2 linked regions of the Tribolium castaneum genome follow. The protein of the gene in region 2 binds, or shares a complex with, the protein of the main gene of each other region. Links are inferred from orthologs where the notes say so. Each region holds a gene or a part of one and is shown on either strand. Other genes may lie near its edges. The genes, in order: Dph3 and Dph1.

The links.
Region 1: Dph1 (region 2) and Dph3 share a complex: the UniProt entries of both Caenorhabditis elegans proteins name them as parts of the 2-(3-amino-3-carboxypropyl)histidine synthase complex. The link is inferred for Tribolium castaneum from reciprocal best matches to the Caenorhabditis elegans genes dph-1 and dph-3.

Annotation. Positions count from the first base shown.
Region 1 is NC_087396.1:11,843,358-11,852,152, forward strand, and holds Dph3 (diphthamide biosynthesis protein 3), read left to right. Parts: upstream 1-3,560; 5' UTR 3,561-3,805; coding exon 3,806-3,913; intron 3,914-3,959; coding exon 3,960-4,034; intron 4,035-4,081; coding exon 4,082-4,153; 3' UTR 4,154-4,525; downstream 4,526-8,795. UniProt on the Caenorhabditis elegans protein: Required for the first step of diphthamide biosynthesis, a post-translational modification of histidine which occurs in elongation factor 2.
Region 2 is NC_087394.1:25,652,251-25,661,572, forward strand, and holds Dph1 (2-(3-amino-3-carboxypropyl)histidine synthase subunit 1), read right to left. Parts: upstream 5,460-9,322; 5' UTR 5,327-5,459; coding exon 5,312-5,326; intron 5,265-5,311; coding exon 4,053-5,264; 3' UTR 4,018-4,052; downstream 1-4,017. Other genes in the region: F-box/LRR-repeat protein 16, read right to left, coding at 761-1,405; Arpc1 (actin-related protein 2/3 complex subunit 1A-B), read right to left, coding at 5,545-6,268, 8,448-8,778, 8,831-8,903. UniProt on the Caenorhabditis elegans protein: Catalyzes the first step of diphthamide biosynthesis, a post-translational modification of histidine which occurs in elongation factor 2.

The sequences.
Region 1 (8,795 bases), on a different chromosome or scaffold from region 2:
CCACACGTCCACAGTAAAATCAGAAAACGCTTCTTGTTATAAAGCCCTAATTATGTTTTTCGACGATGACTGAGACTTTGTGACGTATTTGTTAAACGTAAGTTTTCAAATACCCCATGCCAGTGCAAAGGAGTTATATTAACAATTTTATGGGATTATTTTTAACCTTACACCCATTCTGCTTGAAACAAGAGTGGCTACCAGGAAATAACAACGAAAAAAGTGGACCCAAAAGGCTTCAGCTGCAAATTATAAACACTATCTGTGATTTTTTAAGAAATTTTTTTAATAATTAATAAAAAACATGACAATATTAAGCTTTTCGATTTCGTTTGGTTTGAATTTTATATGAAAATAGAAAGGTTAACCCTCTACACCAGAAAAGACAAAAACATAAAGAAAGTATCTGTAAATGTCGTGAACTTACTTTGAAGTAAACAGTGGGCCCCATCTATAACTCATAATTACTTGAACCGCAATTACCATCATCAAAATGTGCAAAACTGCGATAAGTGAGGTTATGCAGTTATGCACTTTGTTTTCCAGTTTTTCACACAAAATATATCACAAATTGCACAAATCGTACAACCAGCGATAGTCAGTACTGTCAGTACGTCACAGCAGCTTTCTCCAGCACAATCACTGACTGCAATTCTGTGTTGTGCCATTCCCGTCTCATCATATAATCTAAGTAGTTGTTATATGACAAGTAGTGTTTCTACCTTCAAAAATACTTGCGTAAATATGTTATTATCCCGTTAGTACACACTTTTAAAGCAGCCACTGGTTATATAGATTAAAATTATAACATTTCCTTTGTTATTGTGTTATTATTTACATCAGTCAGCTGTTTACTGTCATTTCCTAAAGCTACCAATTTTAAAAATGTTCCTGTTATTAAAACTCAAGGACCATAGAATGAGAGAGAGAACATTTTTTGTTCACATAGACGCTGAATACACGTATAAATGTCAGAAAATTCAAATTTTTTATGTCCAAATAGAAATGTCCCGGACTGTATGTGAGCGTAGGTCAGTGCTTCTCTATTGAAACTGATAATGAGTGAAAGTGGTGTAAAATACTACAAACGAATTATAAACGGTAGGTCGATCGGCTTAGCAACAACGCTAATTGAGCCCGAAAATATTTTCGGCGGGACTGTGACGATAAGTAAGGCGGACGAAGTCCCGGAATACAATTATTTTTCAATTAGCACACAAACCCAGTTAAGTCGTTTAGTCGCAATCCGATTACATGACCTTTTTTCTTTTGTACGAATTAAATCAGTTTCTTCCCTCGTTCAAGAGGCCGAATCCAAGGCGTTTTCATGTTGCAAAATTAGTTTGCAAATTTATAACGCTGCAACCAGTAATACAGCGGGCGCCGAATACAAATGATCGGCGTCAAATTAAAAGATAATTAGTTAGTGGAGTGAATTGTAGGGGTTATATGGTAGTTCTGACCATTACTTTGCGGTGCGGAGAATTGTTACTTTGCTCGAAGATGGTGATTGACAGATGGGGTTACGTTTCGCACTCCTGCCCCCTTCGAAGACTGTCGTAATTAATCTTGTTTAGGCAATCGATTTTAAACAAAACTGTTTCTGGGGCGTTTATCACTTCGCTCTGCATCGGACGCCGAAATGGACAGCTTGTTAGCACGAAGAATTTAGCTCCAAATCGAAAAAGAGGACAAAAACTACACAATCATTGCAATCGATATTCTTTCACAGCGTTTGCACTTATTTTGTATGTTTTAAACAGCGACAAAAGGGCCATTCCTAAAAATTTTGAGAAAAAGTTATCTAAGGATTCAATTAAAGTTTGAAGTTATGTTTTACCTTTACGTTCATCTCTTTTTCTCTCAAAACAAAAGGTATTTTCCCTTTATTAGGATGTGCTCTTACGTACTTTACCTTTACCTTTACCTTTTGCCGCATTATTTTGTTATTTTTGTCACTTTTATGCTCCGCTTTACTTTTATACGTTTATGTGTTCTCTCAATCTCTTATTTTTGCTTACGTGTTGTTTCACTTACCTTTTCTTCACTTTTTTTCATAGAAAAATTGTTACACCTGATCCGGGTACTGACCGTCTTTTGCAGACATTTTAACACAAACTTTTTAAATAAATCAACATTACAAACTATGCAGGGTGGTCCAGGAGTAATCAGATATTTTATGCATTTTATTTACGAGTACGATTATGATGATTGATTATGATTACACACATTCTATAAATTGTAGTAGGTTTAAAACTCTATTTTAATTCAGCATAATAATAAGCCTTTTAAATATTACGAGTACACTAACTTGCTCATATTGTTTTGCAGTTTATTAAGTACTTCTCTATAAAAAAGATTCGAATGAACGCGGTTTTTCCTTTATAAATCACTTTATGTTGTAACAAAAAGTTTCAGCGTTATCGGATTTCAATTAATTTTAAAACGCTTAATGACGATGCATTCTGAAACTAGTCGGTTATATTTTAACAGAACGTTTGACTTTTGGCCTGTTCTAAACATAAAATCAACGGCTGAAATTAAACATGATTAACGAGCAGCAGACTTGTCAAAATCAGATGCGCTACCATTCTACGCTCAATGCCCCAATAATAAAAACCAAAGGCGTAGTCATTGGGAAAATACTCAAAAATAAAATGTTTTGATTTAACCTTGATTCGTAAACAAATTAATTCTTATTTTGATTCAGTAGTGCGTTGATTTTATCCCCGAACGATTATAAGAACGCTCTGTTCACCTGAACACGATTCAAATTTCACGAACTGAACAAATAAAATCGTCTCTATGCATTATAAATATTTTTTTCAAAAATCACTATTTTCCTCCCTCGTGGATGGATATACTTTATGATATTAGCGTAGTCCCGGAAAAAAAGATGACTTTTTAATGCTTTCCGCTCGCGTAGGAAAGAAGCCTTTTGAAGGTAAGTAAAATAGGAATAGGTACGTTACGTACACCGTACACGTACTGGTAAATAAGGTATCTATACTTTTACATTAAACAAAAAAGGGTGCAACCGCTCGGATTGCTCTGATCCCATGCTCACACATAAAAGCGCGAGTGAACGATCATCGATGACGACTCAGATATTGAAAAATATCTCTGCATCTGCCTCACGCTCAGGAATCAGAACTACGACTCATCATCGTGGTTGCGTCAACTCTACGTTTGAGTGTAGAGTATGTGAAGATATACTACAGAAATGATCCTGTGAAGTATGATCTTGATGAAACAATCTTTAGGACTTGTATTTGTACCAACACGTACGACAAGTAAGCGTGAGGACTACTGTTACTGCCATCTTACGGACGCTCTGTAAATTGTCCGACAGTATAAATTAAATTATATTTTGAATTGTATGTTGTTTTGAATACCTTGTAATCAGTGGAATTAAGAAACACCATGTCTTGTCTTTAAAATAATTACAATTACTGTTATCAATTATTATCAAAAGTAGCTAATACAGACTCGGCTGAAGTGCAGGACTTGAGAAAATTTACCCATCAGTCCTCGGTAGTATAGTGGTCAGTATCCCCGCCTGTCACGCGGGAGACCGGGGTTCGATTCCCCGCCGGGGAGACTTTTTTTAATTAAATTTTAACTATTTTACTTAAGATAATAATAAAACAACCCAACAGTGATTCTCCACAATCTCGAATTTAATGCGTATTATTGTTGCCCCTCAAAAAATTAAACGTCACGTCACATCACTCCACACATAACCACAATCTGTCACATGGTTTGGAACCTTAGAAAATTTTAAAATTCAGCCACAAATAAAGTAATGACTGTTTTTCACGACGAAATAGAAATCGAGGATTTCGAATACGACGAAGAGGAAGAAGTTTACTATTACCCTTGCCTATGCGACGATAGGTTCCAAATATCCAAAGTGAGTGCCTTGGCCTAACCTCATTATATTTACTATCAATTTTAAGGAAGAATTGCTCGCGGGCGAAGAAGTAGCGAATTGTCTGAGCTGTTCCTTGGTGGTTAAAGTAATTTACGACAAGGTAAAAAATAGCTTGTGAGGCATTAACCCCAAAAACCCTTATTGCAGGAGACGTTTCAGGAGCAAAATGAAGTCAAAAAACTAACCGAAGATTTGAAAAAATTAGAAGTGACTAAATAAAATGAGCGGTCGAGGCGGGCGAGGGGGCCGCGGCGGTCGCGGGGGGATCAGTAAATCATTCAATAGGGAGCAATTGAGTGCTATGGGGGTTGTCGGTAACGAGGTTTTGCCGGGACCTGTCACGCAACCGCCCCCTCTTTACCCGATTTTAGACCGGAGCTCGATTCCATCGCCACAATTGTGCATACAACTAAAATAATCTCAAAACTGGACCAATTCAACTAAATATTGCACCAACAAACACAAATCAATAGGAAAAATACAACTAATTGACATACTTTGGCCATTCCTACTTAGTAAAATACACATCAATTCTACTAACACAATAAATTAGACATCACATTGTTAATAAAATTATAACTAAAAACCAAAGAGGATTCATTTGAGTACGTACTTGGAGATCAGAGTCACTGCAGAAAAATATTCACCTACTCCTCTTTGATCCTTGATTATTAACTAGGAAGGACAGCTTGTGTCCTGTGATACCCTGTGCTAGGATGGAAGACTTTATAGTACAGCAACATGAACGTCAGTCCCGCAAAAAACGGAATAACGTTCAAATACACAATAGGTGTATAATAAATCTGTTTCTGCAGAGTAGTATCAGCATTACAGTACCACACAACATTAGCTATCGTATTTTCTACAAACAGCACGACGTAAAAGAAAACATATTTCAGAAAAGTCGGGCCTTCGACTAACGTAACTGGCGTGAAAATATACACAGTACCAAAAATTGAGTAGAAAAACATGTCATAGACCTTGTTATGTTTACAAAAATTATTTTTTTGGTTCGTACAAGACAGCCACATTGTCATCACGAACCAGTGGAGAACAATCACCAGAATCGTAGGCACCAAGTACTTGGATGCTATCACACTGATACACAGGATCCTTGAAACTAAAAAAAAACAATTAAAACAATAATTACGGACGACTAAAACATCAGGTGACACGGCGTACAAATAGCTGTGCAACTACAAGACAACACAATAATTTCACCGAAAACTGTTTTAAAAAATACGAACTTTTATTAATAAATTATTATTTACCCTTTTTATCAAGCGCATAAACGTGTTTTTTTCGTGAGCTAAATTCAAAATAGAATAAATAAAACAATAAGAGCAGAAGAACAGTCCACTGGTCACTCCCAGAACACCACGGAGAGAAAAAGCCCCCCAGAAAGACCCCCACCGCCGATTGTCATTCACGGCAAAGCGAAAGACCATGCAGCACTTCTTCAGTTCTGCAAGAAACAAGCTGGTGAAAATTTCACCATCAAGTACACCCGGGAGAGGACAATCATCTCCACAAAAACGAAGAAAGAATACAATTCCATCAAGGAGAAGATGGAACAAGACGAACTGGAGTACCACACGTACACCACCAGGGAGGAGAAAACCCACGCGTTCGTGCTCCACGGCCTGGACAAAGGGCCTGAAATTCCTGAACTCGTGGCTGAGATGAAGGAGAAGGGTGTTGATCTCATCAACATGTATGAGATGAAAAACACCCAAAGGCCCCTGTTCCTCGTCATCACGGGGAAATACGAGACGCTGAACAGCATCTCCAAGAAATGCCCGGCACTAAGCCACATCCGTGTGAGCTTCCACCGGTATGTCAAGAAAACGCGCATCACGCAGTGCCACAGATGCCAAGAATGGGGCCATGCGACAAGCAACTGTCGCGTGAAACCAAAATGCCTGAAATGTGCCGAGGGACATTGGACAAGAGATTGCGAAATCGGCGAAGACGCCACACCAAAATGTGCGAACTGCGGAGGCCCCCACACCGCAAACAATCTCAATTGCCCCGTCTATCAAAAGCGGGTGCAATACATCAACGAGAGAGTCGCACATGAAGACGACAAAGCGGGCCGCAAACCCACCCGCTACATTCCAGCCCCGGCCCCCAAAACCAACGCCTGGACGAGGGCCCCCACGATGCAACCGCAGCCTGTGCCCCCCACGGCTGCATCACACTGGCCAGCGCTGAGCCAGCGCTACCCCCATCAACCACAGGAGCCCCCGAGAGCACCACAGCCCCCGAGAGCACCACAGCCCCAGGTGCCCCCCAAACCCCAGGGAACGATGACAACGGCCGAGACCCTCGCGCAGCTCTCACAGGCGTGCAAAAGGTTAGATCAGTTAGTTGACTTATCTAAAATGCTCAAGGCGGTAGTTGATCTCACCACCCTGCTGGAAGGGTGCACAGATCCTACCTCCAAATTTATGACAGTTTTCGAATTCACCCAAAACCTCCACACTTATGGATTTTAAAGCCATTTGTGTAATTTGGAATGCTAATAGTGTCAAACAAAAAATTGACGAATTAATTGCTTTTTTACATTCTAACAACGTAGACATTTTGGCCATCAGCGAAACAAAATTAACACCTAACGATAGATTTTATATTCAAAATTACAACATAATAAGGAAGGACCGAGTAGACGGTACTAATGCGGCGGGTGGCGTCGCGATTTTAGTCAAAAAAGGTATTTCGTTTTCAAAATTAACGTTACCGCGAACCACAATAGAAGCCGTCGGAATTAAATTAACTAATCAAATTCATTTTATTGCAATTTATAACCGCCCGTGTTATAACATTTCACAACGCGATTTAGAAAACCTAAATAATATCGGTAATAAAGTAATTATAGCTGGGGATTTCAATGCGACTCACAACACCTGGGGATACCATCGAAATAATACAAGCGGAAATACCATATATAATCTTAGCATTAGTAGCAATATCATCATAAACCACCCGCGGTCACCTACTCACTTTCCCTCCAATAATTCCACCCCGACAGTAATAGACTTAATCCTTACGAAGAATTTCTTGTTGGAAAACGACCCTCAGTCTCTTTCACAACTAAATTCCGACCATAATCCGGTAATTTTCGAAATTTCTAATTTCCCTAAAGATAATGATAACCGACAAATAACTTCCTTTAAAAATACCAACTGGCATAACTTTCGTAAAGATTTAGATAATGAAATCCAAATTAATCATAATATTTTAACCACCGAACAATTAGAACACGAAATAAATAAGTTTACAAAATCAATTCAAAAAATTAGGAAAAAACATTCAACCACGCGAATAGTCACTTCCTTAAGAAAAGACAAAATACCGGATAACATTGTTAATATAATTAAAACTCGTAATCGCGTCAAGAAACGATTGCAAGTCACCGGTGACATTACACTCAAACCCCAAATTTCGGCATTAAATAGTCAAATAAAGAATCTAATACGCGAACATAAAAATAACGTTTGGCAAACAAAATTAGCTTCACTTAACCCTAACGATAATTCACTTTGGAAAATGACAAAATTATTGAAACGTAAATCTTATGATATACCGACACTTATCGCGAACGGCACCCCAGCAGAAACGACGGAACAAAAGGCGGAGGCACTGGCGGCACAATACGAATCAGTACATAGAGCAGATCAAAATTTCAATAACGAACAAAATGATATTAAAAGGCAAGTTGAAGAATTCATAAATCAAAATCGCGAGCAGATAAATTCACAACACTATCTATCACGAATTGTAACAAACCCAACCGAAATTGCAGAAATAATTAAAAAATTCCCCAATAACAAAGCCCCGGGGCTAGACGAAATAGAAAATAAAGTAATTAAAAATTTCTCACGTAAAGCTTTAGTACAATTGACAAATTTAGTTAATGCAATGTTCAAATTAAATCATTATCCCCAATCATTTAAAATAGCAAAAGTAGTACCCATTTTCAAACCAGGTAAAAACGCGCAATTACCGAGCAGTTACAGACCGATTAGTTTACTTTCTTGTATCTCCAAAATTTTCGAAAAGGTAATTCATTTTAGACTCAGCAAAATTCTTCAGAAAAATAAAACAATTAATAATTGCCAGTTTGGATTTAGACCGAAACACAATACCACACAACAACTTGCCAGAATAGTTAATGATATTCAGATTAATTACAATAAAGATAAAGTTACCACAATGGCTTTACTTGATATCGAAAAAGCATTTGACCGCGTTTGGATCGACGGTTTAATATACAAAATGATCCATTACAAAATTCCGAAAAGTTTAATCTTATTAATCCATTCATATTTAACAAATCGGGAACTCCTAGTACAATTAAAAAATACCCAATCGACGAGGAAATTAATTGGAGGGGGGTCCCGCAAGGTTCAGTACTAGGTCCAACTCTTTTTAATATTTTTATAAATGACATACCAATATTCGCGAAAACAAATACGGCGCTTTACGCAGATGACACGGCAATATACGCGAGCTCCTTTTCTGCCCAGATAGCGAGCAAGCAAATTCAAATTCATATTAATTTATTGGAGAAATTTTATGACAAGTGGAAAATCAAAATCAACGCGGAAAAAACACAACAAATAATATTTACACGAAAATTTACCGACCATAAAATTTGGGATAAATTACGGGTATACGATAACAAAATTACAGACGAACCGCACGTTAAATATCTCGGGACGTACATTGACACACGTTTAAATTTTTTCAAAAACACTAAATACTTAATTAGTAAAGCCTCCGCCGCCCTTAAAAACATGTACTCGCTTATGAATAGAAACAGTAAACTCACGCCACAAAATAAAGTGTTAATGTACAA
Region 2 (9,322 bases):
ATAGTAAATTCATGCTGTCTGAATAATTTGAACCTGTTAAAAAATAGCTGAAATTATGTGTCTGTAAAAAATTATTATAAAAAGCAAGGCTCCTAAAAGCAACCACACAAAAATTGAAGATTTCAAGTAAAAAATCTGTTTTTTTTTTAATAATTTTAATTTTATCTTGAAAAGATTTTAGTTAATTTATTTAAAATTGTCCACCTCTCACCAGTGGTTACCTCTCCACAACGGACAATTAAAGATTCTTCACCGGTGTCCGTTGTTTAGAGGTTTTTTGTAATTAGTTTTTTTCGTAAGGTACGTAGTTTAGACACAAAATGCTTGATTCCTTACTTTTGCCTAACCCTGTATGAGCGTCGTTTGTTTCAGAATGTCATTACAAATACATCTTTTTCAGCGACTTAACAAACAGTTCTTAATTTAGTTATCTATTTAAAATTATTTTCAACGTTGAATGTCTCCCTAATTATCGTTGGAACTTATTAAAAAAATATCTGGTCTGAACTAATTTAAAAGTTTAAAAATTCGATTGTTTGTTTTTTAATAAATAAATTCAGATGTGATGAATCAAATTGTAATTGAAAATTGTAATAGAAAAATCAGTAGCTTTGAACTAGCGTTACTCGTTTACTTTTTGTAAGTGAACAATGAACATCGATTAGACTTTGGTGTGAATGACCAAAAAATGAGCGTGTTTGGTGTTTGTGTATAAGAAATAAACTAATCGAAAAAAAGGTGTATGTAACCCTGGACTAACCTGCAGATGGTCAAGCAGCGACTCGAGTCCCCGATCGGTGATGCTCGAACACCTCAAACTCAACGTATGTATATGTTTCGAAGCTAACGGAAACGAATTAATAAGATCGAGCGCATCTTCATCGGAAGCCCCCATCAGACACAAATTATGAAACCCCCTCCTCAGCAGCGACGAGTACAACCTGGAGCGCTCGTTCCCTTGCGCCGCCCTCATCTCCCGGCACTGCAGCACGGGCACCAGCCCCGTCCAAAACCTCGGCGACCTGTACAACACGTCCCTCCACCTAGTGCACACCTGCGCCAGCACGCACCGCTCGCACGGACTGAAATACAGGAAAAACCTGGCGAGGAACTTGTCGTCGACCACCAGCTGCTCCCAGGGCATGTAGGTCGGGGGCGGCCGGGGGCGGCGGCCCGGCTTGGGGCCCCCGCGGCCGGGCAACAGCCGCGAGGGCTTCTCGGGGGCGGCCACGGCCGCCGCGCTCCCGCCGCCGCCGCCGCCGCAAAACACGTTGGTGACGCGCTCCATGACGCTGCCCCCTTTGGTCGAGTGGTGCTTGCTGCCGCGGAGGCCCAGGCCGTTGATGCGTTTGGAGAGCTCCGCCGAGGCGCGCTCCACCACCCCCTGGGCCGATATCGACGACATGATGTGTAAGGGGTGCACTCACGAGGGCATCGCGATCACTGCACCACTCGATACGGTCGCGTTCACCCTCGCTGCTGATGGACCGATCAATACGGGAGAAAACGGGGGTGAGTGCCGACAAACGGCGAAAACGAACGGATAAATTCGGAGGGACAAAGCGTTGCGTAACTTGATTTGCACTGTCTTTGGATTTATCTGAATTAATTATTATTAATGTGATAATTGCTAGCGTAAATCGTGGACAAGAGTGCTTCGAATATTTTATGAACGTATGTCTTGAATACTAACTCCAGTTTTCATAAATTACGTTATTAAAGAAATTAATAAACGTTTATTAGAAAATTAAAACCATTTTTTTATGATAAGTAGCACTAAACAATAAACAAAGAATACAACAACATTAATAAAAATAAATTGTTTTTTTTTGTATAGGAACTATTAGAGTTTAGAGAATTGGTAAGGAATCTTATTTCTTTATTTTGAGCAAACATTGTTTAATAATAGTGGGAAAAAATCATTTTTCTACTAAAAATGAAGCAATTTTTCCCACAGTCTCTCCAAAAGTTTAATAAAACAAGGGTTACCATAATTTGACTACACAAACTGAACTAAAAATCATGTTTAAATTTTTCGCAATACCTACCGTAAAAGAGCGACCTCAGAAATTTGTAGTTGACCAGCAGAGTGACTATTTAGTAAAAAAAAGGGTTGCTTACTTAACATTTTTTGTATTATTTTCCTATTTTAAAATTCATTTTCTTTTTTTTTTGTCTGTGTCAAGGTAACTTTATAAAATCGGTTTTTATTCCATAAATATTTGCTCAAAGACCTTGTTCGTTGGCTTTGCAAAATTACAAGGTGAGTCTGCTAAAAGTATTTTTTTTTTCTCAAAAACTATGAATCATACAGAGATTAGTGTTTGCTATTAAATAAATAAATACATACTTAATTTTTTTTCTCCATGCAGGTGAAGTTTTCCAGAATTTTTCCCCAATTCTTTATAACTAAAATTGAATTGAAAGTACTAACATATTCTTAATCGAAATTTAATAATTTCTAGTGTTATACTAAAACAAAAAATTTACAAAAAGCCCAAAAATTACATTATAAAATGTAATCTCAATAACAAGAAGCTTTATGTAGCGATTATAATGAGCTTCAGTATGTATAATAAATACATATTCTAGTATAATAACATAGTAATGCTATGAACAATTTCCAATCAAATTTTAACGCGCCAAAGCTTATTTCGAAAAACACATTTTTTTTTTCATGAAATTAAGTTTTAATTAATTCGTACATATAAAGAATCGCATAATTAGCCACATTTTTTAACATATTTTTTTGTACAAAACAACATCAATTAACGTCATTTGTTTTAGAATGATGTTAGGAAAATGCAATCAACAACACCGATACGAACTCAGTTACAAAATTTGAAAAATTAGAGTCTTCCCTAGTTTATTCACCCCTTCAAAAATTACAAAGTTTTTAGGTAGTGATTATGTGATTAAGTTAGATAGAATCATATCCATTCAGTCTCTTGATAGAACACATGGAAATTGTTTCTGAAAAACTGTAATTTGCGGCTATTACTTAAACAGTGATTAGTTTGCCAACTCCTGTCATGGGTTTCATAAAGTTCTGTGAAACACTTTATATTTTTTTGTGCCGCGGCTTAGTATTAATTAATTTTAATTAGAAGGAATTATAGAAAACTTCTGAAAAAATAACATTTATAGAGAAAAAATAAAGTATTTCATAGCAAACGCTAAATTCTGTCTGATTATTAGTTGAGGAGACACAGTAAAAATATGCTTTTAACTTTTATACAAAATATCCTAAATTTCACCTTCCAAAAAATAAAAGTATGGACTTTTAGGTGGGTAAAAACCACGATAAAAAAAATCTTTTAACGCAAATGAGTAAGTTTTAATAAAATGCATTTAATTTAATAATTAAATTTCTAATCCAAGTGGTCTGTAGTTTTGTAAATTAACAATCTCGTGAATCCTGATGGTGTCTTCCAGTGTTGCCAGCATAATTTCCTAATCATAGGCTACCTCGTTCAGAAATCAAATTGAACGCACATTAAATGTCAAAATACCTACGAAAACACTAAACTTCCGTTTTAATAAAAAAAAATAATAAACGGAAAAAAGGAGCAGTGTTTTACTCATGATACCTCATCCATTTAAATTGTGTGGATTCGATTATCATTTCTCAGTTGCTTATCAACCGTTTATTCCGGTCTAGTTAAGGGTTATTATAACTTTTTATTCTTTTATACGGGAATGATTTCAGCGTACAAAATAAAGTAAATACAATATTAAAAATTATTATTAAAATTAAAAATTATAAAATATAAAATTATTAAAAAAATTCCGTATTGTTATTCCAAGAACATAATAGGTTTATCAAATTCCATACAATTTTGTTTACAAATGTGTGACAATCTCAGTGGGTCGGCCAATTTTGTCGCAGCCAACTGAGCTTTGAAATATTTTAAATAAACAACAAAATGTTACGTCTTATTAGGAATGAATGTCCTACTTTAATAAGATGAGAACGGGGACTCGGATTTTTTTTAATGATGATGAGAAAAAATCAGATTCGTAATTAAAATAAAACATTTATTTCTACCCTACTAAGGACATTTGCCACAGCATTTATCAATCTTATCAGCATCAGGCTTGTGGTTGGGGGTCCAGGGCCCCAGACTGGCATTTGCGTAAAAGTCCATTGGATAGCTAGCTCCCTCTTTATGCCACTCAGCATCCCCTAAAGCCACCGCCATTTCATACGGTGTTAGAAAAGGCTTCGAAAAAGCAAGCCCCCAATCAATCGAAAGCCTTGGACATGCAATTTGAACAAAAGCATCGCAACTAAATAAATCTAACTTTTTCGGAAAAATCTCAGACAGTAAAATCACGACTGCATTTTTCCCCAACTCTTCTAACCGTCGTTTCAAATAATCGACAACTTTGGGGCTCCCTTGCCGCCCCAAAGTCCCCATAATAACGCCATACAATTGCGCCTCTTTGGCTTTCATCACACTCTCTTTGCGATTTTTCTCCATCAAAGCGTGCTCGTAATATTCCCTTGTGAATTTTTTATCGTACGGATCGTATCGGTAAGCTTGCAATTTCGGATTTGCGATCATCGCAGCCTCGAGATGAAACCTACCATCCCCTAAGTAAATTATAACGTCGCAGCAGCGTAACACAGGGGCAGTGCACCCCAGAATCTCGCCGGGCGATAAAGGCTTGAACTGCGGTATCGAAACGTCAAAACCCACCTCTTTTAGCTTCTCTGCCACGCTTTGTAAAGTCGTGACGAATTGAATTGTGCTCACAAGTCCCACTTTTGTCGAAATGGGGAAATTTAGCTTCACAGTTTCGATGAAATGCCCCGGATCGATTTTTATATCAACGAAAATGTACAACACTTTAATCCCACTCGTCTGATCGATTGGGATAAGACAACTGTGCCCGTAGTGTATCAACAGCTCAACCCCCAAAGCTTTAGCCGTCAGATCGTCAATGCAGCAAGCCCCATACGTGACATCCCCCATAATCACCGAATCAGCCCCCGTGAACTCTTTGATAATATCAGCGAGGGTTGTGGCGAACAGCAACAGCCCCTCGGGCATCTGTAAGGCGACAGTTTGCGCTTGCAGCTCCCTAATCCGCCAGATTGTTTTATGCACTTCGAAGTTGTAGTTTTTGGGGAGGGATTCAATCGCAGCGTTGAGTTTCGTATCCTGGAGGATTGACTGAGGGATTTTTGTCATTTTCTTCGCCCCGAAAACCTTACGTGCGGGCTTTGCCCGCACCACAATAGCCGAGTCCCCCGACGCCTGTTGATATTAATTGTTATGTAACGCAACCAGGGGTGTTTACGCACCATTTCTGAAGTCATTTCATGAATGACATTGCGTTGTTTTGGAGGAAAAATGGTTAAATTATTACAATTATTGTGATAACAAGTAAGGTTATGTGACTGGTACCACACTGACGTGAACAAATTGCACCAAACAAATCTAGTCACTAGATTCAGATTCAAATGTCACAAAACTTTACTAACTTGTTTTATTAAAAAACACGTGTGATACATTTAATTAAATGAAAAATGCGTATTCAGGCGATTTTGAGCCCTTGTATGGCCTTCTCGAGCGAGTTGAGGTCCCAAATGACCAGTTGCCCGTCCAGCCCTGAGGTGCTCATCTTGGTGGCGTTGCCCTTGGTGCCCCCATAGATGCAGACACAAGTGATGGCATTCTGGTGGATTGAATCCAAGTTTGTGTCCGAAGTCTCGCTCCTCGCCTGCTTATCCAACGAGTGGAACATCCTCATAGCGGTAAGCCCCCCTGACTCCTTCTTTTGCGACGTATCCAACTTTGCGGTAAAGACCAGCTGGCCATTGTCGTTCAAAGTGTACAAAACCGGGATACAGCTGTGGCCCGCGGCCACGATTGATTTATTGGTGATCCAAGTGCAGCTCAAAAAGGGTAAAAATTCGGTTCGTAATTTAAAAACTGCGTTGCCTCGTGTGGCATCGGCCACGTTGATGGTCGAGTCGTGGGCCACCCAGCACACTTTGTTACCATCGGGGGAGAAGCTCACGCTTTGGACCCATCCGCCTCCGGCATTGGAGTTGGCGAATTCGGCCAAGAGGTGGCCTAGGGGCATTTTGGAGCCCCAAGGGGTGGGTTCGGGGGTCTTTTCGATGTCTTTGATGTAAGCCGAGAAAATGCGGACTTTGAAATCGGTGGATCCGGCGACTAGAAGCACGTTGTTTGGGTGCCAGTCCAGGGTGGTCACTGTGGACCTGATTGGCTTTTTGATGTGCTTGGACACCCACCTAGAGATTACGAAATGTTTAAATAATATATAGACATATCGGGTGACTAAATAGTAAAAAAATTATTGGCAACACTGACTTATTGGCCTTCCTATTAGTTTGTTACACAGAGCAGGGTTGTCAGGAGGTCGAGGGGTTTTTTAATTATTTTTTTTCTGCAAAATCTAGGTATTTAAAAAATCCAGAAATTGTTTTTTGCAATTCGCCTTATATGAATTCAACATTTCAATTCTTTTTAAATAATTCAAATTTAAAAATACAAGAAAAAAGATCAATTGGCAACACTGATTTTCCTGTTAGTCCTGTCTAGGGGTTTTTTCAGTTTTTTTCTGCAAAATCTCGGGCTTTTAAAAAATTTAGAACTTATTTTTTTGTTTGTTATTGACGTTATTGTATTCAGGGTTTCAGGTTTGAATACTTTTCAAATTATTCACATTTTAATGTAAAAAAAACGGAAAAAATTGAAGAAAACAAACATATCTCATTTCAGTTCTTAGTAGAATTTTGTACAAGCGTATTTGCATTTTTCGGAGAGAAATACAGCACAAATAGAGAATTTCTGTATAAGAAAGGAATTCTGTGTTAAACTGAATCCCAATGACAAATTTTGAGCCAAGAAAACCCACCAATTCAAAGAGAAAAATTATTATGAAAATGTACAGTTGTCGCTAAAGGTTAGGAAGATTATTGTAATTAGCGAAATTTTTGAACAAGAAAATAAGTAATTCCTATTAACGAAAGTGTCTCTTAACCAAGTGTTATAAATTAATATACCTTTGGCATTTTTCTACGCAATTCTCCCTATTTCTCTTTTCAGTTACAATTCAGAATACCTAATATAAAAAAAATGTTAAAGGTCTTTTACATTTATCACTACAGAGAGCCTCAGCGAGTTGATGAAGTCCATTATTGACCTTTAAGGGTCGCTTTATAGAAACGTCATTAATTTAATCCTCAATTAAATGCGTGATTAAATAATCACGTGACCAAAATGAACCAATTTGATTGGTCTATCGCGTTGTTAACTTTTAACAACGCAATTAACTTTAACTGAGCTTTCTACCGGGTGCTCAAAAACTGGCGCACCAACTCAATGGAGTGTGGTAAAGCATTGCTTACATATAAAGGTAAAAATAATAAAAAAATTCTTTGCATTAAAGTTATTGATAAATAATGAATTTTAAATAAATGATATGTGGCAACGTTGTCTAACAGTTGTGATCGTAATAGAATTTGATCAACAATACAAATATATTATTTTTGAAACGGTTTCCTAGGAAATAATTCCCAGCGTTGTCACATCTACAAACTGTGATTTTTTTGATGAATTTTTATTTTTTTAAATAAAAAAAACTGCTAAAGTCTGATGGGAAATTTAAAAATAGTTATTCATCGTTGTGTTAGGGAACGATTACTTAGTGTGAAACATAAAAACATTAAAAAATAATGAAAACTGAAGAAAATAACAAAATAAGTTTGTAGCTCCAGATATTTTAAAATATCACTTTAGGAATTTTTTCAAGATTTTTCCCGTGATTTACACATGCTTCTCAACAACGTACCACTGAGTTGGTGCGCCAGTTTTTGAGCACCCTGTATAAACCGGCCCTGAATGTTAAAAAATTTAATATTTTTTCCAAAAGCCATAGATACTGAAATTATTTTCATGTGTACAGGCTGTTTGAAAATTAATTACAATACTAACTTGGTTTTTTTAATGGAACAGCCTTTACAGAAATTTATTTTTTGATTTACTTTTAGTTTTAAGATTTTTTTTTAATTATTGCAATGAAAAAAGAAGTTATTAAAAGGTAAATAATAAAACCATCTAAAGTAAATTTTTTCTTGAAGTTCAAAATTTTGAGAAACTAAGACCCGTTTTAAAAAAAGCGAAATTAAAATTTAAATCCTAATTAAACAAATGCCAATTAAGATGTCATTTAAGTTGCGATTAAAACGTTACGTAAACCTGCTCTAAACCTCACATACTCACAACCTTAATGTGTTAAATTTATAGATGCAATTCATCTTTATCAGAAACTAGAAAACGCGTCACTGTAGAAAACGCAGTAGAAATTCTTTTGGTCTTTTATTTAAAAAAATTATTTGATAATCAAAGTTGCTACAAAATATTTTTCTCGATATAACAAAAGCAAATATAGAAAATCTCTTTACTCACCAGTCGTTTTCGGACTCGAAATAACACACAGAGATGAGTCTCGCGCCCGACCCTACGGCAAATTTATTCTCATTGGGGGACCACTTGACACAAGTCGCCGCCCGATTAATCCGCAAAAGCACCAAAGTTGGCTTCCATTTCTTGTCTTTATCCAGTGTCCACACGTATGCGTTACGATCAGCCGCACACGTAACGATACGGTTGGTGTTGGGCCCCCAATCAATGCCCATGACACGAAGATCGTGTTGGTTCAACACATCGAGGGGCTTCCAATCAGAACCACTCCGTTGGTAGATGTGCACTTCATGGTTATTGGGTGAAATGGCAATTTCTAGAAGAGAAAACAGTTTAACGACTTGAAGCCCCAATTTGGGGTTACTTACGAGTCTTGTCTTTGTTCCAGGCGTGACAAGTGATGGGGCTCACCACTGTCCCGAAACGGTGCTGTTCGGTCATTTTGTAAGAGAAACTAACCCTGTTTTCACACAATTCGCGGACTCTGGTCAGTCTACGCGAATTTTAATCGGAGTCAAGCTATTTTTGATAAGGGAAAGCCCCCAGATGAGTAACCGGGTGCGGTTAGTTTTTTTGACAGTTGCGGCAGTGTTGCCAGTCCAACAAAATCTAAAGGTGCCATATTTGAATTAATATTTTCTCTCGGATTGTGTGAACATGGCTGTAATGTTCATGGTGCCAGCACCATTTTTGGTGCTGTCTTCACCGACATAATTTCATATGCATTTGTGCCTAATTGTAACAATTTTTGTAATTCAAAAAGTTCTGAGGGATTTTTCAATTTTTTTAGGGATTTTGTCCCAATTAACCTAGTGGGCGTGGGAGTAATTAACAGCTGATTGTCAAACCTGTCAACAATC